Lepisosteus oculatus: one gene and its partners. The protein of the gene in region 3 purifies or fractionates together with the protein of the main gene of each other region. This does not show direct contact. Links are inferred from orthologs where the notes say so. Each region holds a gene or a part of one and is shown on either strand. Other genes may lie near its edges. The genes, in order: hdac3, skp2, ccnd1 and cdk5.

Evidence for each region.
Region 1: the proteins of ccnd1 (region 3) and hdac3 purify together in Homo sapiens (affinity purification with western blotting; 5 studies listed by BioGRID and IntAct, with this or other methods). This does not show direct contact. The link is inferred for Lepisosteus oculatus from reciprocal best matches to the Homo sapiens genes CCND1 and HDAC3.
Region 2: the proteins of ccnd1 (region 3) and skp2 purify together in Homo sapiens (affinity purification with western blotting; 3 studies listed by BioGRID, with this or other methods). This does not show direct contact. The link is inferred for Lepisosteus oculatus from reciprocal best matches to the Homo sapiens genes CCND1 and SKP2.
Region 4: the proteins of ccnd1 (region 3) and cdk5 purify together in Homo sapiens (co-immunoprecipitation; 4 studies listed by BioGRID and IntAct, counting the BioPlex papers as one, with this or other methods). This does not show direct contact. The link is inferred for Lepisosteus oculatus from reciprocal best matches to the Homo sapiens genes CCND1 and CDK5.

What each region holds. Positions count from the first base shown.
Region 1 is NC_090706.1:38,473,153-38,480,584, reverse strand, and holds the start of hdac3 (histone deacetylase 3), read left to right. Parts: upstream 1-4,423; 5' UTR 4,424-4,607; coding exon 4,608-4,662; intron 4,663-5,644; coding exon 5,645-5,727; intron 5,728-6,191; coding exon 6,192-6,334; intron 6,335-7,091; coding exon 7,092-7,173; intron 7,174-7,432. UniProt on the Homo sapiens protein: Histone deacetylase that catalyzes the deacetylation of lysine residues on the N-terminal part of the core histones (H2A, H2B, H3 and H4), and some other non-histone substrates.
Region 2 is NC_090698.1:15,353,430-15,360,737, reverse strand, and holds the start of skp2 (S-phase kinase-associated protein 2), read right to left. Parts: upstream 3,022-7,308; 5' UTR 2,910-3,021; coding exon 2,896-2,909; intron 2,466-2,895; exon of another isoform or gene 2,355-2,465; intron 653-2,354; coding exon 417-652; intron 36-416; coding exon 1-35. UniProt on the Homo sapiens protein: Substrate recognition component of a SCF (SKP1-CUL1-F-box protein) E3 ubiquitin-protein ligase complex which mediates the ubiquitination and subsequent proteasomal degradation of target proteins involved in cell cycle progression, signal transduction and transcription.
Region 3 is NC_090716.1:5,510,211-5,517,166, forward strand, and holds the start of ccnd1 (G1/S-specific cyclin-D1), read left to right. Parts: upstream 1-3,932; 5' UTR 3,933-4,243; coding exon 4,244-4,441; intron 4,442-5,795; coding exon 5,796-6,011; intron 6,012-6,543; coding exon 6,544-6,703; intron 6,704-6,956. UniProt on the Homo sapiens protein: Regulatory component of the cyclin D1-CDK4 (DC) complex that phosphorylates and inhibits members of the retinoblastoma (RB) protein family including RB1 and regulates the cell-cycle during G(1)/S transition.
Region 4 is NC_090701.1:30,515,135-30,522,697, forward strand, and holds the start of cdk5 (cyclin-dependent kinase 5), read left to right. Parts: upstream 1-4,544; 5' UTR 4,545-4,661; coding exon 4,662-4,698; intron 4,699-4,798; exon of another isoform or gene 4,799-4,865; coding exon of another isoform or gene 4,866-4,887; intron 4,888-6,310; coding exon 6,311-6,399; intron 6,400-6,698; coding exon 6,699-6,766; intron 6,767-7,563. Other genes in the region: abcb8 (mitochondrial potassium channel ATP-binding subunit), read left to right, coding at 1-33, 606-689. UniProt on the Homo sapiens protein: Proline-directed serine/threonine-protein kinase essential for neuronal cell cycle arrest and differentiation and may be involved in apoptotic cell death in neuronal diseases by triggering abortive cell cycle re-entry. Interacts with D1 and D3-type G1 cyclins.

The DNA of each region.
Region 1 (7,432 bases), on a different chromosome or scaffold from region 3:
ATTGCATGTTCAACACATTTCGTCCCAAAACAGAAACAGTGTGCCCCTGACGTTGTCTGGAATAAACGCGTTCATGATGTCGATGATGAGGGTGATCACGATGATATTATTACTGCCACAGCAAGAGGTTAGATTGCAACATCATCCTCTATAGCCAAGGTTAAAAACAGAAAACTGTTTTTTACACCTGTATTTGAAAATATAAAATATCCAGCAGTAAGTGAGCTAATTATGAAGTCTTGCTAAGTACTGCCCAGCATGTACAGCAGTTCTTCTTATCTCTAATGAACTGATTTAGCTGCGTCTGTCCTTCAGGGCTCAGCTTTCACAGCCTGGCCTCGGGGTAGCACTGTTTGCCCTTGTCTGTCCTGGCTCGACCATAATTACTGTTGCTGTGAAACACTGAAGTCTGCTCATTAATGCTTCATAATGTGCAGAGGTGTCTAAGCAACTGTAGGGTAAATGGTAAGCATTTGAGCTCCCTGTGACTGTGCCTCGTCCTCATGTAAGATTCTATACAGCTGGAGAAGTAGAACTCTGTAACAGTAAACACTGTAACCAAGCAAAGTTACAGCAGCTCCCTGCCCGTGCAAAAGATACAGATGCATTAGATTGCTTCTCCTGTAAACATCTTCGCAGGCTTTCGATAAAGCACACTTGCATGTGTTGTTGTGCCAGTAATGGTGACCTTGGGTTTTAAGTGTTATATTGCCTGGCGTGGCTAACCGCCTGTACTGTACTGTACCTGGAGCACAACAGCATTATTTTCCAAATGAACCCACGGCCCTTGTAAAACATATTTTCGGCGCGTTTAGCGTACTGATGATGGTCGTATACCAAATCACAAACAAAACGGGTAAGGAAGAATGTATTCTCAAATCACATCCTGAATGCTTTAGAGTAGACGGAGGCGGCTAAGCAGGTACAAACCGGAGTCAACTGTAACCACACCCTCCACTCCTAGTGAACATTAAGACGCAAAGTTGAAATCATTATTTAAAAAAAACGACACACAGGCACCAATTGAAAATGCCTGAATGGACTGGGGTCAGCATCCCGTCTGCTCTGTACTTTTTCTCATGTGAGGACTGTTAGCGGTCAGGGATTCTTGGGAAATGAGAATTTGTCTGGTTCCTTGATTTAATACAGTATCCACATGACAACCACAGTGGCCAGCTGTGGAAAAATTCCATCAATCCCTAATGCGAGAAATAACTTCATTCTAGAGTTGCATTGTGAGTTATGCAACTGGAAAATAATAAATGCTACAATGTGTCATTTATTATTATTATTAATAATAATAAAATTAACAGGCAGTTTAATTTTAAACAATATTACCGTAAATCTTTATGTACAAATTCATGATTTGTTTGCTACGGGCGTCACGAATTGCGGAGAATCTAGCTTCGTTGCTTTTCAATGAAGATTAAATCGAAAGGGTTAACTTTCTCCCTTCTGCACTAAAACCACCCTTGTTTGTTAAATGTTTCACATACACCGCCCCCCACCACCACACACACACACACTGACACGCTCCTAATTTCCGCGCCCTGATGTCACACGAAAACGGTGTTCAAGGTCTTTTTATTTAAAAAGAAAAAGGTTTTCCTGTCACTTAACTGCTTTCCAATACCTCGCGTCGCCATGACAAAAAAAAAAGAGAGAGAGAGACTCCAGGGGTGGGAAGAGAAGGAAAAACAACACCGTGCGCGGGTCTAGGGAGATGCAGGCTGCAGCCTGCATCTTTTCCAAGTTTCTGATCCCTGATAATGATCTGGTGGGCCCAGCGCGGCCGGTGACACACCTGCCCTTGGGCTTGGAGTCAGACTCCGGGGACACCGTGGGCTGCATCAGTAGGGCGCTGCTGAAAGCCGTCTAATACCGTGGCAAGACAGTCACAAATACGGGCACAATGTCTCACCAATAAGCCCGTTTCAACATGTTTCTTTTTATCTCTGCGAAGTGTGGGATGGTTTGCGTGTGTGTGGGGGGGGTATAATTCAATATTAATAGCATTCTCCATTCCCACTCAAAATAAACAATCCTATAAATATATATATATTTTTTAAAAAAAATCTCAGTCTGAGGGGCGTAAGAACGTCATAGGAAAGGCAGTACAGTATGCTTAATGGTCGTTTGCTGCCCCGAAGATGAGATGAGACGGAACTGCAAGACGAGCCCTCTGCTTCACGAACACAGCCGTCTCTCCCTGCTCCTGCAGCCCCGCATCACAAACACTAGCCAAGGCACCCAGCTCTCTCATCCGCCCACCTTCCCCGCACGCCCGCTGGCCTCGCCGATCAAGTGGCTGCTGTTCAGTGAAGCCCCCTAGTCGCCCCTTTCGTCCTAACGGCAGATTAAGAGAGGAGGAACCTGCGCTTACCGGGTGCTTACAACTGGACGGCGCTGCTCCTGTGCGGGACCATCCAGCGGCGCGGTGCTCCCGAGATCCGGACGAGCGCTGCTCTGAAGGCGCACCGAGGGAGGGAGAGAATCTCCTGCAAGTTATTTAAAGGGAAAAAACCTCAAAGCTTTGGATGGGAGTGCTGCGTGCGGAAGGAGACACGCGGCCAGCTGCCCCTCTTTCAATTTCTGTGATATGCAAACCCCCTCACTTCAGAAACGATTTCATCACCGGTCGTATCTATCATCATATATTGTGCTTTGGTCTCGCTTTACCGTTTCACTGTAAATGAACCTCAGCGTGCACTGTGAGATCAGTCTCCTTCTGAAACGAAAAACTGCCCTTTTTGGAATGTATCGACTACATCGGTATTGCTCCGTGTTTAAAAGAGTTTATTCATGTAAAGAAAAAGATAGCATTTCAAGTTAATGTTTTTTTTTGCTTCGTTATATGAAAAGGGGGGGACTCACTCTTACACAAAAAGTGTACATCCAGCGTGGTCTAAAAAGTAGTTTTTTTTTTTTAGGGTTAAGGAATGAACCATACATATTTTGACACCTGAAGACAGTTTCTTTCCCTTTCACCATTTCATTTTCATTTTTCCATAAATATTTTGCTTGCTCATAAATACACACACACACACAATAAATACACACAATACTCGTTTAAATGTCATACGCCCGATGGGAAACGTAGTGGCACTTTCGCCCTGACTAGACGATACACAGACCAGCTCTATAAGGGAGAGCTTTAAAACGACTTGAAAACATTGTAACAGCATAGAAATATATCAATAGAGAAGGCAGTTTCATTCACCCCTGGAAGTTTAAAACCCCTTACCATAAAGGATAGAGGATAGTATCTCTGTCATTCTCAGGGTGGCAGCTGTGTTGTTTATTATCAGCACTGTAGTTGCTGTGCAAGACTGAATTGGTAATATTACTGTAGCTGCAGCTATGTGAAATCTGGGTGGTTTCGCTTATTTTAGACCCCACTACACCGAGATAACATGTTCTAGATTGTAAGGAGCAAAACAAAATTCTTCACGGGACTCCCCTAACAGTTATTATCCTCAGAATGACTTCGAACAGGGGGGACGCAGGACCTGTGTCTTTTTTAAGCTGTGCGTTTTTAAAGTCGGAATTTAAACTTTGTCCGATTCAAGGAAGTGATGGGCTGCCTGGTTCTTTAAAAGTTATGTAAATACAACCAGTAAGCGAAGTCTTGTTACAGAATTTGTTAGCATATATAGTATAATATTATAGAGAGACTTGAACAACACATTCTGAAACATACAGGAATACAGGAGGACCCGACACTCGAAATCGTGAAAGGCGCTGGAAAAAGTAAACCAAAACATTTCTTCACAATGAACAGTGAAACACGAATCGGGGGACACGAGTAAAAACTACGTGGCAAAGCAGCTAAAACCGTGACACGGGAGGCATGTCTTTGCACCAAGGGTCGTGGGGGTGGGGAACAAATGTAGAAGATAGTATGGTCAGATATGATTGAAGATTCATATGAATTTATACTCATTTCACATTACACGTCGTTATAAAATGTAATACTCGTTTATCGATGTAAAAAAATCGATTTCTTATAGTAGATTGGTGCGATTATAACTTTCTTCAGATCTGCCGTGTGAACATATTTGGGTATGGTGTTTCTATATGAACTAATCATCACCTGTGCTTTTTGATATCCAGATTTTGATTTCAATATGTTTTAACACGCGGATATCAATATTTGATATATCAAATATTGACATATTGACGCGCAACGATAAAAACGGAATTTCTCATGAAAAAAATAAAATACCGATAAGAATACGATTTGAAATATTTCCGATATCAGAAATTATTTTTATTCTATATTCGGTAATCGAGGCAAAGATGTTTAAACGCTTAATCGCAATTTTAAACATGAATAGAAATGAAAGTTCCTTAATACGAGACCCCGCCACTTTCGACGTCTACGTCACATAAACATACGTACGCATATTCGTGACGTAGTACACCATCTGCTGTTTCTGATGACGTCCCGCACAGGTCTCCCGTGTTTTACTATGGCGGCGATTTGGTAAATTAAAAAGAAAGCTGAATTAGAGTGAATTAGAAATCCTGCTTGAAAATTAAGTACAAAAAAGAAGGACTGCCTTCACTGCTGTCTGGACGACACTCTCTGTTCGTTTTCCGCTGTGATGACGAACAGGACGGCGTATTTTTACGACCCAGACGTGGGGAACTTTCATTACGGTAAGATGGGCTTGTGGCTACTGTTATTTTATCGTTTGCATTAAATTTCCGATCTTAGCCCCAGCTTTCCACCGTCTTACTTACTACGTGAAATAATTTATCAGCGGTCCTGAACTTTTATACGAGTGATGATCGATATCTCCCTTCTGAACTTTGCAGGTGATTATACTAATTTACAGCTGTAGTTGCAGAAGCCTTTATGAAGTTCAAACCCACTCAGACAGCTCCTCTCCTTCAGTAAATATTATTTCCAGTGCCCATTTTCATTTTAGAATATGTCTGCTCCTTTCATATTGACATGTGCGGTTCTGAAGTGCACAGGCGCCTCGTTTTCATTTTAACATCCGGACGGCCGGATCGTCGATTTGTATTTCAGTACCTCCGCATAGCAAACAAAAAACAAAAATCAAAACCGGCAAATTAAAGAAAGATAGCTTTTCGTGCCGTCACAAGGCTGCAGAGCTTGTGGTAGAAATTACCGAGGGATATATTGTTGTGTTGCTTTTACTTTTGACATCCTTATTTAGGTATGTATTGGGCCCGACAGGCTGAATAAGAAAGGTTTTAATAATCAATTTTGACAAGATGACAAACCCTTTCATTTTTATCCCGCTTAAACCGCTAATTTGTTCATTTATGTACAGTAGCTGCTCAGTGCAGTATTGCTTCATGGTGAACTGATGAGGGATTTCCAGTCCATCTCAGGGGAAATCGTAGAAATGCCAGTTAATGTGTAAGCCCGAGATTGAGCTGTAGGAGAAAACAAGGGCACCTGGAACCAACATCTTGCCTTGGGAATAACACTGAATCCAGGACAGGAAAACCCAAGGACATTGTTGTCTCCCAGGACAGGCGATGTGCAGTTTTCTCTCATTGACAAACGCATCACATTCTCCCACCCTCTGTACGTTTACGCTTCTGGTTTGACTTACTCTACAATACCAATGAATAATTCTTTCATTTTGGTTGTGCCCTTTTTAAGGTGCTGGACACCCAATGAAACCCCATCGACTCTCTCTCACCCACAGTCTTGTTCTGCACTATGGGCTCTACAAGAAGATGATGGTATGTTTTTTTCCCCAAAGTGAAGATTAATTTTGGCAGTGAGGAGTTTCATCTCATTTGAAGAAAGGGGTTTTAATGATTTTGTGTGTTATGAATTTATGCCTTAGGCGTTTTTGGCCCACACGATCTAAAAAATGTGTGGAGTTACAGAAGTGTTTGCACATGAGGCAGAGTTTGACACGGAGTTGGAGTAGAAATGTAGATGTTGCCTGCGCAGATGTGGAGGGCAGTGTAGGTCAGGGGCCCGCAACTGCTAATGTTCAAAGAAGAATCTATATAAATATGTATATGTATTTGCATTGTTGGGCCTTTTTTTAAATCCAGAGTATTTACAGGTAATGATCTGTATATACAACCCTTGGTTGGATATATGTGCATCCAGACCCCTTGGTACCATTGCACACCGGCTGTGTTTGTACTCTTTGTACAGTATACAGTGCCCTTGAAGTCTTTGTCTGTCTCAGGTGTTCAAGCCATACAAAGCCTCCCAACATGACATGTGCCGCTTTCACTCGGAAGATTACATCGACTTCCTGCAAAAGGTCAGTCCCAACAACATGCAGGGCTTCACCAAAAGTCTCAACACCTTCAACGTTGGGGATGACTGGTGAGTACAGGGGTGTTATTCTGTCTTTGGACATATTTGTCTTTTCAAATACGAAAATATGCTAGCAAGCCTGCAGGCAGCACGGTGGGCGCAATGGTTAGAGTTGGTGACTCGCAGAGCTGGGGCTCTGGGTTCAATTCTGAATCTGGTGCGCTGTCTGTGTGGAGTTTGCATGTTCCCCCGGTGTGCACATGTGTACAGTTTCCTCCCGCAGTCCAGAAACATAGTGGGAAGTACATTGGCTTCTGGGAAAGTTGACCCCCCTGTGTGAGTGTGTCTCTGAGTCTGTCTAACCAGAGGTGGACTAGTGTCCCGACCAGGGTGTGTCCTGCCTATAGCCTATAGAAATACGATGACATTTAAAAAGAAGACATCTCTGTGGAAAGAAGAGGCTGTCCTGAATGGATCTGCCTGCTTGATTGGGCTTTTGTCTGTACTTGGCTATAGGTTATAGCTTGGTGTCTCATGTTTCACAGCCTCGTTCTTGAGCTACAGAAAACTGCCTTCTGGTCCAGAACGTTTCTTTCAGTTGAACACGCGTGGCTTACAATCTGGTTTTGCTTCTTCACATGGGAGCAAGCCTATAGACATTTTAAAAAGAAGACATCGTTGTGAGAAGAAGAGGCCTGCTATGTCCTGGGGCTGCTGGTGCAGAATAGTTGCTTGCGATGGTTATAATCACGATGGTGAGTGGTGGAGTCATTCTCAGTACTCCGTTATGTGTGAGTTAATGCTCTTGTCTCCTGTCGTTGCCCAGTCCTGTGTTTCCTGGCCTGTTTGAGTTCTGCTCACGCTACACGGGAGCCTCTCTGCAGGGAGCAACGCAGTTAAACCACAAGGTACTGTCTGCCCAGGCAAAATGCTCTTGTTAGCTGTGCACCCAGCCAGGAGAGGAGCATGCAGGTCCGCTCGGTGCTGTGGTGGTTTCGACGAGAGAACGTGCATCTCATCTGGATTTGCTCCCAACTGAGTACTTGTTTCAAAGCGCGAGCTCTTTCCAGGACCATTGTGCAAGTCAGGCTGTCGTTCACTCCATTTTCCTTGTTAAATGGGCTGCATTGTTCGCATTTCAGAGATAGGGGTCTCTTTCTGTTGATT
Region 2 (7,308 bases), on a different chromosome or scaffold from region 3:
CAGGAGCTCGTCTGGCAGGCTGTCCCAGGAGAACCCTGTCGGAGCAAAGAAGGGGGGTTAAGCTTGCTGAAGCTGAAAAGCCAGTTCCCAGGTAGCCATTTCGTGCTTGCATTCCAGGTCCCATTCCTCCCACTCCCAGTTGCTAATGACTGACGAGGGAGGGGAGATAACACTACCAAGGTTCCTTCACCAGCCACAGAAGGATCATGCAAAGTAGGATCCATCAAAATGAGTTTTTTTTCTTTTCCTGCTTCCTTTTTGGCGTTTAAGATACCTAGAGACCACAGTGAGGAAAAACTAAAAACAGGCCTGTCATTCTGAGTGGCCTAATTTCTCTCCTCTTCCCTCTCCCACAGACACTACCCCTGACCCTACCTGCCCAGATTCTCTCCCCTTCTCTTTCCCGCTAACCCTACCTGTCTGTTCCTTCTTCCTCCAAGGCCTCCTGGCCAAGACAAACACGGCCTCTTCATTCTCCTTCCCCCGGCATATCCTCTGCTGTTTGCGAGGAGGGGACCAGCTGTGAATGAGGTCCTGAGGGGTGTTCTCATTGTCCATATCCGACTGGACCCCCTTCTTCCCCCCCTGCGATGTGGACAGTGTCCAGTCTGGCAGATTCCCACTCATGGAAGGCAGCTCCTGGAGGTGTCTTCTGCAACATCAACGAGGGAGAAAAACAAGCTAGGAAACTATTTTTTTTAAATCTAAATCGGGATCACACGTTGAAAGAAAAAGCCTTTTGAGGAGTACAATAATGGCATTCCCAAGCACCCAAAGCGATGTCGTCAACAGTGTCGTTCTCTTCCATGCTCTCTTTGAGTGGAAGCAGTCAAACCTCGATCTAGACTCTGGACACGGACATCCCACCCACATTTTCATCTACCATCAGACTAACGAAATCTGTCATCCTCCAGCCAGCCCACAAAATACAGTACACAGAGGACTCACGGCCAGCAGGCTTCTGTGGGTTTTAGGTACTGTTCACTTTTGCGCACTACTGTGCACACTGTGCACAGCAAAAAACTGGAATGAGCTACGGATCCAAAGTTCAAAACAATAAATCGAATGGCAAAATACGCCAACGCACACCAGCACGCAATATTTGCCAACAAACGTACCTACAGAATGTTGTGGCAGAATTCTGAACCTTTGCTCAAATGTATAATGAACATTCACCCACTGGTACAAAGCGTTTTGAGAAAATTCATATTTTAGTCCACTAGCAAGCCTGTTATATTCACTAACAACATCCTATTGCAGCGATCTCCAGCCCTGATCCTGAAGAGCAAAAGTCTACAGTGTTTTTATCCAGCCTTTAAATCATCTGTTACTAAAGGAACCATGATCAGTAAGACGGGTTCAATTAAGAGTTTTTAAGACATCATTTGGAACAATAATCAATATTCTGCAGCCCTCCAGGACCAGTGTTCCCTCTATTTGAACATTACTTGCTTAATTGTTCCAATGCTTAAAGAAGTGGTCCCAATCTTTAAATAACAGACAATTAAGTATGACATATAAGAATAACTAGACTGGGGCTCTTAAGGGCTGGGAATGGAGACCTAACATACCAACTGTTAAAACACACCAAAACCTCCTTCACTACTCATGTAGCTCCACATGACAAAACCAGACCTATCCACAACATGCAGATAAGCCAACATTTCATAGATTTCCACGTACTTGCAGCATTTTCCACTTTCTGATCTAATTCAGCTGACACCTTTCAACCATCCATCCATTTTCGAAACTGTTTTATGCAATACAGGGTCAGCAAGCAACAGGCACTACGCGGGGTACACCATGAAACACACTCAGAATTGTTTTTGCATTGCAACAATAATTGTTCTAATCATTCCTTCTGATTATATAGCGCCTTTCACCCCGCTGGATCCTAAAGCGCTTCACATCCAGGATGTGACCCACTTCCTCCACCACTGAACATGCGGCTACCACCACGTGCCAGCCGCCTCACAACACAGCAAGCCGAGTTCAGAACAGAACTTCAGGTAGATCAAACATTAACTAAAAACCCGGAATGTAATTTAAGTAGAACTAACATCCCTACTCTCACCAGTACTAAGGGATCACAGTCAGGACCTAGGTTTACCGTCTCTTCGGCACTAACTACGAGTCCCTAGTCATTGCATATATGGTAGGACCGATGTTCGCAAATGAAAAATATAGGTACATATAAAAAGGTATTTTTAATTAACATCAGTGACTTATAGTACTGTGTAGCCCGCCCTAATACAAAGCGTCATCGCTTACCCCACATTGCCTTGCTACATATAAAAAATTATTTCCCAAATCCCATGCATAAACAACCATTTATTACACAGATGTCATTTTACCTTGCAACACATCAATTGCGTATTGTGAATTAATTGCATTCTTTCACTTGTCTTTTGTTCGGGCCGACTCACCCTAAGCTGAGAGCGCGCGCTTGCGCGACGACCGTAAAGCAAAGTGCTGCCAAGAGCCGGCGACCCAGTGATGCCGGCAGGAGAAAAAAAAACAGATCCCGTTTTCGATCGACCATCAATGTGTATGCTCCGCTCACTTGAGTGCAATATGAAATCAACTTGAAAAACAGCAGCCGTAACCCCTACTGCGTCGCAAACTTGAATTGGACAGGCATATCGGCAAAGCAGCATGTACTGCAAAACACGTTCGTTTTACTACATCGACGCAGATTTTCTGCATATCATGCAATGATTTACATTCAACCAGTATATATCATATAAGCTTCTAGCCTTGAGCAGTCCTGTTTATTTCCCATGTCTCAGGCAATCATAATCATCACTCATCTCACACCACGTCTACTTTCTTAATAATATGCTGCCCAAAACGAACACGCAAAATCCTTCTAGGGAACCAGGATCTCCCGTTTACCTTTCTTTAGACATGTTCCCTTTGTGTCCGTCAGATTTATCAGAATTCTCAATATTGTTTCCACGCACAAGCAAGCGGGATTAATTTTAAACCTCCCGCTTGGTTGCCCGCCTTCGTGCTTGTAATACTGAGCGCTTTGGGAAAACGAGGAAGGAAGTGACTCGTGATTGGTTGTTTTCGCACGTCTGCACGCTGCGAAAACAAGGTGACGTCTGGCTGCGCATTCTGCGCTCAGTGTTGCACAAACTGTAGCTCACGCCTTCGCGCAATTCGCTGTTTGACTCCCATAGTGAGCCTGAGATGATATAGATATAATTATATCAATAGTGAGCCAATATCAATATAGTGAGCCTGAGATGATATTGGGATAATGATATTATACAGTAGGTTATAGAATATATCTAATGCACTGTGTTATATGCATTATCTAATAAAAGTTATAATTTAATGTTTTTTGACGTCGTCCTTTGTGATAGTTTTTTTTAGATAAACAAATGCACATTTCACTAAGAAACATTTTCTCCGCCGCGTCGGAGAACATGCTTGTTTTTTTTTTAATCGTGGTTAGTTTTCGCTGTCCTGGCGGCTCACTCTGACGTCACACGCAGGATCCCCACAGCCGGCTGCGCTGGCTGCCCGCGCGGCTCTAGATGTGCCTGTGCGCTGCCTCTGTCATCTCACGGTTCGTGTCTGTATTGCATCGTCCGTCTACCTTTTGTATTTTGTAAGAACATATAATGTATTGGTATTTTATGTTGTATTATTTTCCTATATGATTTTTTTAATGTATATTATAACAATCTGTATAAAGCTGCCATTTGTTGTTCATCGCTTTCAGTTGAAATAATAAAGGAAAAATAACTCATTTAATTAATAGTCATATTACACAAGTGTGGTCGAATTAGGACCATAATGGTTTAGGCAAGTTGCATTTCAGTAGTGGATAAAGTGTTTTTTCCTCCCAAATATACATATGAATGGTGTTTATAGAGGCAATGTATTAATAATTTTAATCTAAAACCATATTAAAACTATTGACAAAGTTTGTGTAACTTTAAAGTACACTGGCATATCATGTACAACGATTATTATGAAGAACGCACAAGAAATTGTCTTTAAAACCGGAGGCACTTCTATACAAGAAGGATGGAGAGTGGAACAAGCTACTTCGCCATGCTTTTGAAGCCGATACACATGGCTTCTTTGAAATAAAAATGTCTAAATAAGAACCTCGGATCAATTAAGAACAAGCACTCAAACAGGCCAGAGGGGCAGAATAGCACAGGACCTTTGCTATATGCTGTTGTTTTACACTCCTTGAACCGTAACAGGAAAATACGTATGCCGAATTCTCAGACTGGCGCTCGCAACTGTCGCCGGTCTATGACGTAAAATAGCGACCGTTTTACAATGGATTATAGGAAATGTAGTTTGTCTGCCACTTTCCCTTCGAAATAACACTCAGGGCAGACTACAATGACTCCATCTCCTATAATGCTCTTTCACGTTTGCACAAGGTAGGAAGCGAACAGGATGTGACGTTGATGCTTTATGGTACACGCATATCTGAGAATTGGTGCAATATAGTAATTCTGTCTTATACAAGGGAGTGTTGGGAGCCGGGTTCCGGGAGATTTTTGTTAAGGATACGAGCCATTGGAGGTAAGGGACTGGTTTTTTTCATTAGCGACAGGGTAAATTACTCTGCGGATCATTTGAAAGTAGGTTACCATTAAAAGGTCAAGAAAAATATAAAAAATACCGTTCTTTCGCTGTAGAAGGTAGGTGCCCAATGAATTGTTTTATAACAATTATAACCGTGCCATCGCTTCGGCAGATGCCCAGTAAAATAAGGAGAAATGAGGCGCTTTGTAATGTGCTGATCCTCGCCAGCATTTGTTATGGTAACGCATAGAAACAAGCAGCCGTGTATAAGGGGAACTGAAGTTTCCAGTGTTCGGCTTTTTCACTGTGCTGTTTCTTGCTTGCCCGTTAGTCTGTGCCGGTGTGTAACTCCACGGAGCACAGCTTGTGAAACCGCACGTCTTCTGGTCTGCTTTCAAAGATCTTACTATGACGATTTGTTTTTGAGAGTTGGAGGTTTGAGAATTTTGGTCACTGAGCCGGCAGCGCCGCTAACGGGAAGAGCAGATGACAGCTGCACGAAAGTAAACGGTAGGGTCGGGGGCATTTCGTCAGAAAGACAGCTCCAGGCCGCTGCTGTGAAAGCCTGTGCTGTCAGGTATGACGTGCGCACACGGAGTTCAGAATGGGTGTGTATACGCTGGCTTTTCCCTTTTCTCTTGTTGCTATGTGCTCGTCCTTTCACATTCTTCATTGTTTTTAAACAGCATATACTTTCTGTTGTGCGAGAGTCACAGGATCAACCGGAATCTGACCTTGCCCCGTCTCATGCTTACTGTGAATGGACTCTTCCATACGGGAAGGAGAGACATGCTTAAATGTTGTAAACCCACTTTTTATTCACATTTAGAACACATTGCCTTTCACTAATTGAATTCTATGAAATATTTCATTTATTCGGATGAGCCATTTCGACGGTAAAGGCAATACTCAACAAACCCAGTTCATTTGCTTTACAGCAGCAAAGGTTGATTGGAAATACAGGACATGCTTGATATTTATTCATGCTATACAGTGTCATGTGTGGAAATATTTTTAGTTTGTGAACAAACAGGTGAAAAGTGAAGAGGAGAAATGGGAGAATCATTTGAAGGTGAAGGGAGAAGGATCTTGGAAGCTAACATAATCATGTCCCAGAAGAGAGAGAGCCCTTCTCGGTAAAGGAATGTAGCGATATCAATAGACAGATAATAGAAATTGTGCTGCCTTTTTTTTTTCTGGGAATGAAGTTTAGAAGCCTGTGGTTGTTTCAGATGACTCCTGTCATGTGGCTCGGGCAGTGTCTGAAGGTCTGGGGCTGTGTGGACAGCTGAAAGATAAAGGAGTCTCCAAGTTGTTCACAGCATGTGTCACATGCTCTAAAGAAGAGGTCCCAGGTGGGCGCTGTGTGGAGTAACCTGGAAGCAATCGAAATCTTCCCTTTGGCCATACTTTATGTGTGCTTTTGTCTTCAAATTTCTTAAGTGGAAAGTACCTTAATCTTCTGTTTCGGGGAAAAAGAGAACAGTTAGACTAACAGTCAACGACTGTGCTGGCCTTACAAGCCCATCTGTGTGCTGCTTTTTCACCCGGATTCTCTCGTGTGGCTCATGCTTTACTTCGAAAGTGGGGAAATTGACAATATGTAGTTCAAGGAAGTAGCTGCGTCAGCATGAGTCGGCTGCAAAGGAACACGTGAAGGTTTAAAAGGAACAAGTAAAGGTTTATTCCGTGCTGAAAAGAGAAGAAAGGAAACGCAACGTGTTTTTTTTTCGGGTGTCCTGCGTGGAAATGACGATGTGTGCCAGCAGGGGGCGGATTCTTTCACTCGCCATCGGGGAGAACAGCTGGACCTGCAGTGAAAGAAGTGACGTGAGCAGAAGGCCAGGCGACGTCCCCCATCAGCTGGGATGAGAATAGAGGTTCAGTGGTGAACCTCTACTCCTGTGACCTGTGAACCTGTGACCTGTGAATTGCCATGGAATGGCAGGGAGTGTGATAGTGTCCTTTGGAGAAGGGCGGGAGTACGGGGTGGATTGTGTCCTGTAGCTGTGCCTTTCTCAGCTTCTCGCAAGGACTGCTTGCTTGTTTTCTGTTGGCATAATTTTGTGGGGGTGGGGGTAAGCAGAATGAAATTGTGCAGGTGCCTCACCCACCCCTGCACCACCCTGCCACTGGGCATCGCCACTGGCAACTTCAGCCCAGGGAGGGGTGGAGAGGGCGCCGATGGGACACAGATGACAGCTGTCATCATTTCATCATCAAACCAGTAGCATCACCACTCTATTCCCTCGCCAGTCTTCACTTGAGTAGCTCATTAATCATTTAAGTGATATTCAGCTGCAGCTCTTTCCGCAGAGAGCTGTCTCCAATTTAACCAGCACCAAAACATTAATACATAATAAGTAATGTTATTGTTATTCCTTTATATTTCATGCGTATGTATTTTGCATTATATTGATGTGCTTGTTGTTACGGTTGAAATATCTCATTATTTGTAGTGGCTTCTTTAATAAAATGCTCTCAGATTTATTGTGTGAAAAGGCGGCTTGTGCCATTTTATAAAATGGTTACTTATTTTAAACACTCGCTTAAAAGATTGTTGCCCGTGTGGCCGAATTGGTATCCATAGATATCCAAACTTAGCCAGAAATGTAGATTGGAAATATCTTTTAGAGTGACCATTGTATCCCTTTCTGAGTCTGGGGACACCAAGGATGTTTGGGTCAACATACTGAGCAATTGGACCTCCTTGTATCTTTGCATGTATGTACACAATGTGAGAAGGAG
Region 3 (6,956 bases):
TACAGTAACCTTTATATAATATTATTTCTAAGCGTATAACCACTTTAAGGTTATATAGGACATTTAATAATCATCAAATTCTAGATTGTACTTGAATTTGTTGACCAAGTCTGGAAAGATAAAATGAACCTTCCAGTTTTTTTCCCTTCTAATATACCACTGAGGGATACTACAAGGAATTTATTTTAAACAATTAGCTGTATGCCAACAGGAAATGTGATGTATCTTACCATTCTCCAACATCTCCAAACAAAATTACCATCAAAAAACACCTTGAATTTCCAGCAACTTACATGAGATTTTTACTTTCACTTCTTTTGTCCCTGAGGATAGATCAACATGCACCTTTTTATGGAATGAAAAACACACAGGTATAATATAATTACATGAATTTCCCACCTTAGATAATTGTATTGGTAACCACAAAATGCACAGTGAAACATCTGAAATATGTGTGGCAATAAAATGTAACTTGGGCTTTTCATTGTAATTAGAATATTAAACATATACAGAATGTAGCATACATTGCATTTAAAATAGAAAAATAAATCGTACATTTACAAAAGCTCACTAGTTTAGCATTCAAAAGCATTGTGGTTTGCCTTCAGTTTCGCTATGAAAGAAAAGCATGTGACAAACTGTGAACAGAGTTAACCTTCAACAAAACCATTCTCGCAAAATCTTTTAAACTAAAACTAAAAACAAATCTTGAGAGGATGCCTCCAAATCCAAAACCATGTAATAATTGTTTGAAGAGGAATTTTTTATAAAAAACAAATCTTTACCTGGTAACTTTGCACTCAAACATTAATAAATTACACATGCTCCCACGGTGCTAACACACACTAGTTGGCTTGTACTTTCATACATGAGTATGTGATCTCAATTACATAAGTACATCTTTTAAAATATAAATAAATTCACATTTTTGGATTATTAAAATACAGCATATGGTTTAGTACTATTTTTAAACTTTAGAATGTAAATTATCACAACTTGTGGCGACTTTTAACAAAATTTGATTGGTTAAGCCATTCCTCTACCTTCTTCAATGACTGTATAGTATAATACAAAATATAAATATTTTTATAGGACACGTTAAGAAGAGTTTAGGTTTAATTTCCATTACTAAAATGCACGTTTGGAATGAGGACTTTTAATGTTTTCCAGCTTTCCATATTGTATTACATTGATTGAATTGTGTACTGAGTTATTCAAATAAAACTTTTCATAAGTTTCATAGTACTGTGTTAGTGAGACTAGGAGACTGTGAGGACTACATTATAAACTCTCATTATCCCATGATTTAGCCTTCCCAGGGTGATCAAAGTGCGCTTTGAATGCACTGCACCTTTAAATACTTCCCAACTTCGGTTTTATTTCCTGTCCATTTACCGTAGTGAATAAAATAGAATGTTTTATAAAAGAAAATGAGCATGTGCGTTTTCTGATAAATAAGTTAGTAAACTTACAATGAAGATAGAATGAGAAATATTTTACAAAATAATTAACTTGAAAAGTGGTTTCAAAGCGTAATCTGTAGTATTTTTTAAAATCAGCTTGAAAAAACATTTTCAAAATACATCTGCCTTGTAACCTCAAACATCTTGTGGACTCTTACCTTGTGACAGTATTGTTTGCAGTTTGTTTTAATTGTGCATTTGCTGCCTGATGTTAAAAAATAAACGAAATACTCAAAACCTGGATGCAACCCTTCATATTGTGCTCCATAATTTATCTTAATTACCATTTTGAACTGCAAAACTATTTTCGGAATCAAAGAAATATATTGTTTGCTTTTTATGCATTCTCCACAAATACAATCTATAATCAAATTATCAGATTTTCAAATAAACGTTTAAATAATTTCAAATATTGGAACATTCCAAAAACTGTAATTACTCACTGTAGATGCATTTCCTTCTTAGATGTTGTCAACTTTTAAAATGCGTGTATTTTACATATTTTACGGCAAAAGGAAACCCATGTGGGCTTGTTAACATGGGTACAGATTGGAATGCCAGGAATGTAGACTTCATTTATGTTCAAGCGACAGTGGGCTACTTTAAAGTGACAGCGTGCAATATTTAAAGATACCTACGTAATCTGCATATATTTATTATTCCTTTGTAAGCAGATGCACTCACAATACTGTATTTTAGTATTCAAGAGATACTTTAAGGTTTTATAAAAATTACAAAGTAATTTTCTGCTTTCGAGATACATGAAGGAATTAATACTCGCAGGACCTTTTTAGTTTTTCTAAGTTTCACTGGGCCATCCAGAAGTCCTGGTCTTCAGAAGGATCTTTTATGGTACATCTGAAATCAGTCGTGTTTCATTGCAGTAATCTAGAGTTATACCAATTTAAAAACGATTGGATTATCACAGCATTTTACGTGCATGTGATTGAAGAGTTCATTTTTTGTTGCAAATACTTTTAAGACTCGTACTGCATTACAGACCACATTTGAGCAAATAATGCAATTTATGCAGGTATTTAGGTTATTATTTTAATTTATTGTAGATATGTATAGATAATTATCAATTTAAATATGTTTTGTGGTAGTATTTTGTATTTAAGAAATGGTAATATTGTATTACATCTGTGTAAATTGTGCGTGGCAAACGTTACCTTACATACCTTACATGCGACAAGGCAATATTAAACTAATTTCTACTCATCTTAAATGGGGCAATGCAAGTAACTCAAACATCACCTGAGATATTCCTTTGCAAAACACAATGGCACTTACGACTAAAATATATCTTCAAATGTAGAGAATATGTAACATGTTTTTCATTGAGACCACGTGGCTTCGGGTCTACAAGTAAAAATAATTTTGCCTAGATTAATTCTCTAACCAGTGTAAGGCTATGTCTTTAAAAACGCACTTAAATGCTTTAAAATGTTGCATTGCCTAAAAACAGTACAATAGCATCTGTGCCAAATTTATACAAACGGGTAGTTACGAGCCGATAACATAAGTACACGTTTACATTTGACATCGCCACCGGAAACTTTCCACTTTTGATAATGTGTGAAAGTTTTTAAACCTTCCCTAACAACTGCACCACAAGAAACACTGGAGTTCCTGCTTCAGTTTCTGCCTGGTAACAGAACACTCCCCCATTGGTTTAAGCTAATTTCAGTGTCCTCCCATTGTGAAAGGAGGGAGTTGGGGATGTTCCTCCGAAATTACTGCCAAGTTTTTTCAAGTTGGCGAGTTCGTTTATCCAATATTGCCACACGCAGAAAGGAGATAGATCTGCACTTTTTATAAAGACAGTACATGCCGCTTTAAAAAGACATATTCCTGAGCCATTACTCCGTCGTGACCAAAGGAAATACAGGATTAAATCCATCTGCCAACTGTATATTAATAGGCCCATGTATAAGAGATATAGTTAAACAGTTAAAAAAGTTATTACTTTGTTAATAGTGGTTTAGTTTGCATTGTCTCAAATATACGGAAAATGGTTGAAGAACGTGGTACAAAGAAAGCAAGAGTCATTCATTTTTAGAATAAAGGCAACATTCAACGGCTAGCCATCTAAATATGCCTCAGTATTTGTTTTTGTATACTAAATATACAAAATAGTTTTATCTGCACTACAATTATAATAGTGCAGAATACACGTTTTAAGATAATAATAGTGCACACAGCTGTAGATTTACACCTCCCCTGTTTCTCGTATTTGCCTGTGTTTTGTGTTCTATAAAAAAAGGAAATGAAAGTGGTATGGGGGACTGTAATGAAAATAAAAAAATTCTCCTGAAGGACAATTTCGTGAATGTGTCTATTATCCATCCCCCCCCTCCTCACACACAGCTACCCCAATCCGATGTACCCCCGCCTCCCTCCTCTGGACCCCCCTGCAATACACTCTCAGCGCCGCCACCATGAAAAAGGACCTCCCCATTTCCATACCTAAGCAAAGCTCAGCGATGGGAAGGACTACGAACTTATATGGGATAGCTCTTTAAGACTTACTCTCCTCTCTGAGGCCTCTTTCTCTCTCATGCTCGGAGTGGCTTTGATCTTTCCTTAACAACAGTAACGTCATTGCTTAGTACAGAACTAAAGGGGAGTTCTGTTGAGGACTGCGAAGTTTTGGAGCCGCCAGAGGGCTTGAGCAGCAGCAGCAGCAGCAACAGCAACAGCGAAACAGCATCCAAGAAACTTGCTCAGCGCTCCGTCTGAATCCTTCGAAAGTCCAAAGCTTAAAAAAGTGCAGAGACATGGAACACCAGCTGCTGTGTTGTGAAGTAGAGACCATCAGGAGAGCTTACCAAGATGTCAACCTCCTTAATGACAGAGTGCTACAGACAATGCTAAAAGCTGAAGAGAACTATCTTCCTTCTGCAAACTACTTCAAATGTGTTCAGAAAGAAATTGTGCCTTATATGAGGAAAATTGTTGCCACATGGATGCTTGAGGTTTGTGTGAAAAAAGAAATAAATCTGTATGTTTATATTCTGCAAGCTTTCTGTCCTGACTTTTCGCTCTGCCCTTTGGACCTAATCAAATGCACTGCAAATGAGGAATTATATAAAATAGAAATTTAATCCAGTTCACGTTTTTCCTCCACCTACTATTGTATGTCTGCATAATTGTTTTGTATATCGTTGTGCTATTTGTTCACCACTTCGTTGCAATGTTTTTTTATTTTTTCTTTTTTTCTGGCTTCTTTCACATACGGAGGTGATTTTATCAATACTTTTATTTGTAGTACAACACGGGTATTGTGGTATTAAACTTTCGTTTATTCTTTAACCCTAGGAGCTTTCTAAATTATTTTATTTTAATTTATTTTAAATTAATATCAATGTACACGTATGCAGTGCAACTCGTGCCAGTAATATGCGCCATCTTTGTTCTCGTGCGGTAAAGTATTTAATATATTAAAATTTCTATAATAATCAGATGATTGAAGAAAATGTCATGAATATAACAAAATACAGTTACTTAAGCTATTCGTATAATTTAATGGTGATTTGAATATTAAAAGGGTACGTTTCTTTGTTAAAAGTTTTTACAGAGCTATACAACCATGCTTCAGCAGCAGTATTTGGAAAGGCTGTTGCTAAATTACGTTAAAAAATACCTGTAGTTATATTAGAAGTCGTTCCAAAAATTTAGCAGTCGAAAAGAAGACTAAATTTGCAACATTTACATAGTTTTAATATTTACATTTTCCAATTATTTCTATTTTTTATTAATTTTTGAAATTGCGCGTCATGACGATACCGAAATGTCGCATGCTCATTCCAGAAAAGCGATGTGCTATAATTTTAGTTCTTTTTACTTATAATTTGCGCTAAACATCGTAAATTCTCGATACCAACTGATAAAGTACACGTTGCAGGTCATTACCATGCCATTTTTATGCTCTGTAATAATTTTAAAATATTTTTAAATATTTTTTGAAAAGATGACGAACTACAAAATTCTTAGGGTACGTCGCTTGGGACGCCACCTTTGTGTCTTGGAAAAAAACGTCTGCAAAAAAGGAACAAAAACTAATGATAATTTCCGTACTGTTCAATAAAATTGTTTTAGTTTTGCCAAATGTATAACTTAATACAAGTTTAGAAAAGAATAAAACTGATATATAGCTATTATATACAGTGGGCATAGGATAGCTTGCAGAAAGCAACAGTTTTCCGTTTGCAAATATAAATGTCAAAAGTTTTCATATTTTGATTTTGTTAAAACAGTGTATTGATTCAGACACACAGCATTTAAAGCATTTGTGTGTTGTTTCTTATTTTATTTTCTATTTGATTTCAGGTCTGCGAAGAGCAGAAATGCGAAGAGGAGGTGTTTCCTTTGGCTATGAATTATCTGGACAGATTTTTGTCGGTGGAACCCACTAAGAAAACCAGATTACAATTACTGGGAGCTACGTGTATGTTTTTGGCTTCAAAAATGAAGGAAACCATTCCGCTAACTGCAGAGAAATTGTGCATTTACACCGACAATTCAATCAGACCCAGCGAGTTATTGGTAATTTAAAATCAACACACTTATTTTCCTCTTAGAGATTTAATAAGGAAATAGTAACGCTGCTTTTTTAAAACCTGTAATGCATATCATTTGTAATGCATTCTTGCAGAATGTTATCGATTTTTTAATGTCACTGACTTACAGTTGTGATAAATGTTCGACATTGGTTGTATTACGTATATATCTATGATATCATACAGCGTCTTCTTTAAAAAATCGCAGGTATATTTTCACATATATTAATAAACTATCAATTTTGTCTTAAATCAGTACTGTATGAGAATACTTTAAGATTCTGATACTTAATTTTACCAATTTCTTTTCCGCTGGTAATACGTGTGGCAAGAGCTCCCTCTTGCGGTAGAAAGAAGCCCGTGACGAACATCTCTGAGCATACAGTATTCCAATTTAGAGCTGTGAAGTGCCAGAATAACCTTCTCACGCTAATGCGTGCTGGACAACAACGCGTTTCTTGATGGAAATTCGCAGGCCATTACTTTAAATTGATTTCATTTTATGTTCTTTTCCACAGCAAATGGAACTACTGGTGTTAAATAAGCTGAAATGGGATCTTGCTTCAGTGACGCCTCATGATTTCATTGAACATTTCCTTTCCAAACTGCCCATCCACATGGACACCAAGCAAATTCTTCGCAAACACGCGCAGACTTTTGTGGCTCTTTGTGCAACAGGTACGCACGGGGAACTGTGAGCTATCCACACTGGAAATGTCGTCATAACGTGAAATATCCACATATGTGATAAACCGCATGTGCAGTGGTGCAGGAATATTATACATTGCAGTATGTTTTTGGTATGGGTAACTTAAGCATTGGCAAAAAGTGTTTGTTTTAATATATTTCCCATTCGTTAACCCACAGATGACGTCTATTTTACATTAAGCTTTCACTTTGTACTGTACGTTGATTTAGTTCAGCTGGTCTG
Region 4 (7,563 bases), on a different chromosome or scaffold from region 3:
ATCTGTGTGTTGAGCAACGGGAGCGTCACGGAGGTAAGAGGGGCAGAAAGTTTCTCAGTAGAGGTTAACAAAGAATAAAACTGAATTGCACTGTTCTTTTTAGCTGTAGACCTGGGGGATCAGTGAAGACTGTGTAATTCGGGATACAGGAGATACCGTATTGAAAAAATGAGTACTTGTTCCCAAAAAACTGTGTTCATGGACAAGATAACATATCTTAACTAAAGGATTTGTTAAACATCAGGGTTTTTACAGAATAGAAAGACAAAACTAATTACTAATTTCAGGGACATGATTAATTTGTGATTCTAATATCAAATATTGTCTTAAATCTGACAAGCTCATACTTCTAGAACTGAGAGGATCTGTAATATTCTCTAAAAACTGAAATAAATGTTCTCTTAAAACAAGATTGTACTGATAGGCGTAAATCCAAGAATGGCTGTTGGATTCATTTAATTAATTAGAAGAGAATTAGTTTAAACCTTAACTGCTTTAATAACCACTTTCAGTCCAACTTTAGACTGAACATTGTGTGGTTTGCTTAATGTCTTCATCTTGCAACACTGAAAAAGAGATGTTGTTCTTTTTTTGTCTTTCCTAAGGCTGGTACACATTCTGAACTTCTGAAGAAAGGTGGACTGTACGCAGATCTGACTCAAAGACAGAGGACAGAGGGAAAGAAATGAATCTAAAGTAGCATAGTCTACAGAAGATTTTAATCAACAGTTGATCTTTGTCTTTGCCTTCTAAATCAATTTCTTTTCAGATCGATTTCACTTACTGACAGTTCATATCCTACAATCTTGTAAGAAATTATTGACCATGATGGGAAAAATCAGAGCAGTAAAATGTCTACCTGCTTTGAGAATGTTTGTCCAAAAATGCATTTTTCTTTTGGTTTTGAAATATCATTGGAAATGTTTGAAGATCTAGTTTAATGTAATCATGAAGTTAAAAAGTTTGTACAATACTGATTATAATTTTTGAACTATAAAAGAAGGTATATCCCTTAAAAGCAGACAGCGATGAAAACACTACAGGAGTTTGTCAGCAGTAATTTATGAAAACCATTGAACAGGAAGAATTATTGCTTGAGTTTTGCTTTATTTTTTTGGATAATTAAACTTGACAACTTTTTCAACCCTAAGAAGTTAGGTGTTGAGTAATTTTGGAAAAGTATAAAATGATTTCTCTGTTTCCTCTTTGACTTTGTATTACATTTACAGGACCATCGTGTTTAAAATACAGTAATGATATCTTGAAGGACGGGAAAGTATTCTACCTTAAGGAGTTAGAATTAGCATCTACGTCCACTTAATAGACCAATGACATAGTGTGTGTACAGGACCTTGCAAAAGTATTCAGACCCTTCTTGTGGTGTCCCATTTTGTGAAATAAAAATGGATGTACAGTATACACATTTTTTAAGCTCTAATTTTTTAAAAATCAGTGCTGATACAGCAGATGTTTAGGGTTAAGATAAGCTACTGTAAATGTCAGCAAAAACTAAAACAAATAAATCTTAAACATATTGATTGCCTAAGTATTCAGCCCCATGAATTCAATATTTGGTGGTAGCACCTTTGGCAGCAATTCTTTTGCAATTGCAATTGTTTCAATTATCCTGCTGAAAGATGACCTGTTATCCAATAACTTGTTTAAGTCTTTAGTAGATTAAGGCAGGTTTTCTTCTAAGATTTGCTTGTGTTTTGTTCCATCTATTTTTTTCTTCACTCATCACTGCTCATTTTGTTCTATCTAAGCTATTGAGCTGTGCAGTTCTTTCAAAGTTGCCATTAACCTCGTGGTAGCATCCCTTGCTCATCTACTCAGTATGAAGATACAACCTGATCTCAGAAGTTCTCTGGGTGATACAAGGTGCCTTCCATTTCTTGATGATTGAGAGACTTTGGATGAGACCTTAAACTTAGATCCTGATAATCATTATTGTTGTTGTTGTTGTTATTATTATTACATTAATAATAATAGCTCACACTTATATAGCACTTTTCTGGACACTCCACTCAAAGAGCTTTACAGGTAATGGGGTCCCCTCTACACCATCACCAATGTGTAGCCCCACCTGGATGATGTAACAGCAGCCATAGCAGCCACACATCAACTATTAGTGGGGAGGAGAACAGAATGATGAAGCCAGTTCATAGATGGGGATTATTAGGAGGCCATGATTGGTAAAGGCCAAATGGGAAATTTGGCCAGGACACCAGGGTAACACCCCTACTCTTTTCAAGAGACGCCCTGGGATTTTTAATGATCACAGAAAGCCAGGACCTTGGTTTTACATCTTATCCAAAAGACAGTGCCTTTTTACAGTATAGTGTCCCTCTCAATATACTGGGGCATTAGGACCCACACAGACTGCAGAGCAAGCACCCCCTGCTGGACCACTAACACCTCTTCCATCAGCAACCTTAGTTTTTCCAGGAGGTCTCCCATCCAGGGACTGACCGGGCTCACACCTGCTTAGTTTCAATGGGCTGCCAGTTGTGAGTTGCAGGGTAATATAGCTGCTGGCCATTAAACGATCCTGTGGCAATCATGGTAGGATCAGGGTGTTAACTCATGAGCCCCAGCTCAGTTCTACTCTAGGCTTACCCAATACAGCCTACCACAACTCTTGATTCAATTAGTAGAGCTATTTTTCAGTTTTCCTCTTGATATGTTGGGTGGCAGTGCTACTGGAATTTAACAGATGTGGACTTCACACAGGTGGGTGCTGTTGCTCTGGTGGTTAAGGTGGATCCTTTAAAGTGAAAAGGGCTATATAAATGCAGTTTAATAATTATATGTTTTATTTTACTCTGTTGTGTCTATACTATTTTATTCCAAATGTTAGAGTTACAATCAGATGTGTATTTTAATATAGTGCAGTTTTCAAATTTTAATCTGAGAAAAAGCATTCCATTTTCTTCTTCTAAGTATAGGTGGTGTGAATATAGACTTTTGGTAATGCAAGTACATACTTGTATTAGATTATGAGTTTACAGAAGTCTGTTTAGTACCTCAATTAAAATACACGTGCTATAGTACTATATTATTATTAACTATAGTATTATAGTTGTCTAATCTTGATTAAATAAAGACTTGTATAAATCATTTAGTATTGGACAGGCAGCGAAAGTGTTTTAACAGCAGTGTTACATGGTTGGAAGAAGGATTATACTTCTGCTATTGTTGAGTGGAAAAAATGAGTGCGGGGCCAACAGGTATCAAGGACAAAGTTGACTTTAATTTTGCAGAGAATGGCCAATTGATGCATTATCTATCCTTGGTCTCTGAGCTTCCTTACATTGAGCAAAGGTCCTTTCAGCATACGCGCTCGTTATTTACCACACACTCCTTAATTACTGTACCACACAGTTCAAAGGCGCCATCATTGTGACACTTCCACCTCCCTTAAGAAGGAATCCTGAGCCCTTTCTAGGAGAGATTGTTTAGTCCCAGTTAGGAGAACTCAGAAAACAGTTCAAGATGGAAAAATTGAGGAGGACACAGGTTGCAGCCGTGGACCTAGGAGAGGATGTGGACACCAGGGAGTCTCTAGCGAGCAGCAGAGGAAGGCTTCTGTGTTGTCTACTCCTCTCCCCCACCCAAAACTGGACATAGACAAATCAGGGCAAAGGGGAACATGAGAGACCACAATGTTCAGGATGGTTGGAGTTGAAGAGGACGCCAAAGACCATCGAAGGATTACAAAGACGTTCTTCGCTGTAGTGGAAGGAGGCACTCCCAGTCACCGACTTAAGCTGGTTTTGGAGAACAGTGATCCTGGACAGATCCATCTTTTTTGGGTCCATCTTGTTCATATGGTCTATGAGTGTGTGTCCCTTGGATATTCTGAGTCATGGGCTGTGTGAGATGGATAGCTTGATAGGCTGTAATAAATTGGGATATAATGTAGGATTACTTATGTACACTGGGGTCGATGAACTGGTTCTAGGTTGAAAAAGACAGTGTTGTGGGGGATAAGGGTCTTAGCACCCATAAAACTTGGAGGAGTCACCAACTGTCAGTGTTACTGAAATGTTTCAAATAACACGAGAAACAAAAGAAACACCAATGTTTCTGAAGTACATCAAAGGGGTTTATTTCAGTACCATCAATTAATTTATCAACTTTGTTAATATTGGAAACCTACAAATGTATTCATTTTATTCCAAGAAAGATCTGTTGCATCAGTATCTGAATATTAGACGAGCATTTGTAAAGTGCAGAAACCATGGTATTTGTTTCGGAGTCTGTTGCAAGTAAAAAGGAGTGATCATCACAGTAGCGGATGGGAAATCATTGCTTCGTTGCTTGTAGAGAACCAGGGTTGTACCAACAAGATGCAGTTTTAACTTCCATTAACTGTTCTATGTGACAATGAAATTCCAAAGAATTTAATAAGATTTAGCAAAAAAAAAAATGTATGTACACGGAAAATGTACTGTATGAACAACACCTTTGCCAGTCCGTCACATTCGCTGTCGCTTGTAGTTCAGGGTGGTGACAGATTTTGTAGTCATGCAATTCATTTTTCTGCCAATAGATGTCTCAGTTTGTTGTAGTCTTACATTCAAAATTTATTGCAAAACCTCCCTTGAAATTAATCCTGGGAGAAAACAAAACATACATATATATAATTTGAACAGAAAATGCAGAAATATGAGAAACTTGAGAAGATTGGAGAAGGTAAGAGACAATGCACATTTGTTAGATCAGATATATGTAGTTGTGCGTTTTTATTGTTTTGTGTGCGATGAAACCCTGTTAATTCTTCTTGTAGTCAGTTTATTTAAATCTCCGTACGACTGTGGCCTACGCTGCCATCAGAAGCCCCGGGCCTCGCGTAAAAGCTAATGCGGAGTTTGGGCAAAGCAGGTTGGTTACAGGCAATTCTTTCTGATGGTCATTTTCGTGATTCAAAGGTCGTCGGTTCTTATTTATCGACGGGAATGAATGAAACTATTCTTAGCTTTTTGTTTAAAATTTATAATGACATTTCATCTCACTCTGAATCGGTAAGATAACATTTTTCGTTTGTTTGATCCGCTGTTTTGTGGGCTGTCAATTCAGCTTTAGATTATTTCCATTTAAAATTATCTGTAGAATCTTTTTATATATATAGAAATATAGCTAATCCGCTCCTTTTTAGCATTATATTAATGATTTTTTAAAACCTGTCCTGTGGTAAAAGATGGTAAATTATTAGCGCTTTATTTATTTGTAATTAGCCTGAACCGCATTATAGCAGATGTCTTTATTATCTTAGTTAGTATAAATGTAAAATAATATCCTAGTAGTTCTATTATTTTAAACCTTTTTCCTGAGGCCCAAGCGTAGTTGGACTTAGAGTGTAACTGATGATAACAAAACGCATTTCTAATATAAAAAGATGATTAAATCGGTATAGAAGCAAGCAATGTTGTTTTTCAAACTGTTTTAAATGTTGAGTGCTTTTAATTGCCACTATTTCATCTGCTAAAATCTCGTCTAATGTTTGTTGAACAATATGTATATACTGCATCTATAATCATAATGAATTGTTCTGCTCGTCTAAAGCTATTAAACTAAAAATTCCCACACATGAAATGTTTCCATGGGAACCGATATACTTCGGGATGTGTTAGTAACCTGGGAAAGTTATTGATATAATACTATTAGGGGGGACAGTTATCAAACAAGATATATCTGCTTACTGACTTGTCTCTTCCGAAACAAATAACACTTCAGAATTCGTAGTTTTACTGTAGTTTTGGCATGAAGAAAACCTACAAATGGGCACGGACAGTTATCCTGTACATACAAACGTAAGAAACTGGAAACTTTATCTCGGTCTCTCGGTCGTATATTCTTAAAGGAATACGCGATAAAAGAGAACGCCTGTGTATCCTTTTTAGTGTTCTGCCTCCGATGAAAACAAATCATCATTCTCCATAGCTTCGGGTATTGCAGCTGCCTATTTGTAACAGCAATCTCACGTGGCAATTAAACACAGCTGGTTTCACTGCATGCTTGTTTTATTTTGATCTCCTTCCTTACATGGTAAGGCTACCATCATGTTTTTCATTGCAATAAAAGTTTTCCCGTTATATAAATACTAAATTAACCAGATATTTGTTTTGAAGAAGCAAATACAGTTATGTATTCTGCCTTCAAGATATAATCATTATTAATAAACATAGTTCCCTGTCTCATTTGGAAGTCATTGTAAGATTACTTCCCAATTGATACTTCTACCCTTTGTTTCCAATTTTTCTAAAAGCAACTATTTCTTCTTTGTCTTTTATTTATATTCATACAGGTACATATGGAACAGTCTTTAAAGCCAAAAACAGAGAAACTCATGAGATTGTAGCTCTGAAAAGAGTACGGTTAGACGACGACGATGAGGTATGAACTGGTTATTTTCTTTTCTAGTGCATACCAAGTGAGGTACTGAAAATTATCATGTGTTTTCTCTCTGGTAAATTTCATGATAGATTCACAACAGATTATTTGTTACATTCAGGTGCTATTAAGAGTTTAGACAAAAGCATAAAATTTGCTGTGTGATGCAGTTACAATTAATTTAATAATAGAATTACAAAACTCAGAATGCAGTTTGAAACTTTATCCATAGTGACTTAAATTTACCATGTTTATACATATTATGCCTCTTATGTATTAGTATTATGTCTCTAATTTTTCAGGGTGTTCCAAGTTCAGCATTGCGAGAAATTTGCTTGTTGAAAGAACTAAAACATAAAAATATAGTTAGGTAAGTGGTTTTTGATTTCTTCAGTTATTAACTGGCATGAAACAGACTTGTTTAATGGTGTTGTGTTGAATCATGTTTGTATCTGAAGCTTGATATTGGAATGTAAATTATGTGGTGCTCCTGCAGGTTTGTTTGTTTCTAGGTAACAAGAACTTATCATTTTGTGATTCTTATAACATTTAAATTGTTGTTTGTCTGACATTCAAATTCTGAATGTATAGAAGTTGTAATCATACTGTAACTTAACATGTAGCTCCTCTCAGATTCTGAGGTGAGCAACACTCATTGAACTACAATTAAGAATGCCTTTCTTAATTTAGCAGGCCCAGATTGGCCGATATATATGTTTTTGTGACCCAATGCTTCTGATCTCTAGTTTGAATACCTCTTACAAGTCAGGGGACTAGCTGTGGGACCTGGGTTTGTAATGTAATAGATGTTATAGGGTAACTGCAGTATATTTTTCTATCTAAAGTATATTCACTTGCAATTTAATGATAACACTCTTAGCCTTTCCCTGATTTAAAAACACATATATATACTAAAACACAGTGGCTGTTCAACCGCTCTACCTGCAAAATATGCAAGTACTAAAATTATAGATAGAAACTACAGTTCTTGTAGAACTTCACTAGAAAAATGTTGTTGTTTAAAGGGGAAAGTGAAGTAATTGTAATACTGTATGTGGGATAATATGAAGAATAAACCATTCAAACAATACCACAAACTCTATTTTAAAAGAATTGGGTTTCAATTCAACAACTGCACAAAACATAATGTAAATCAAACTGTCAATC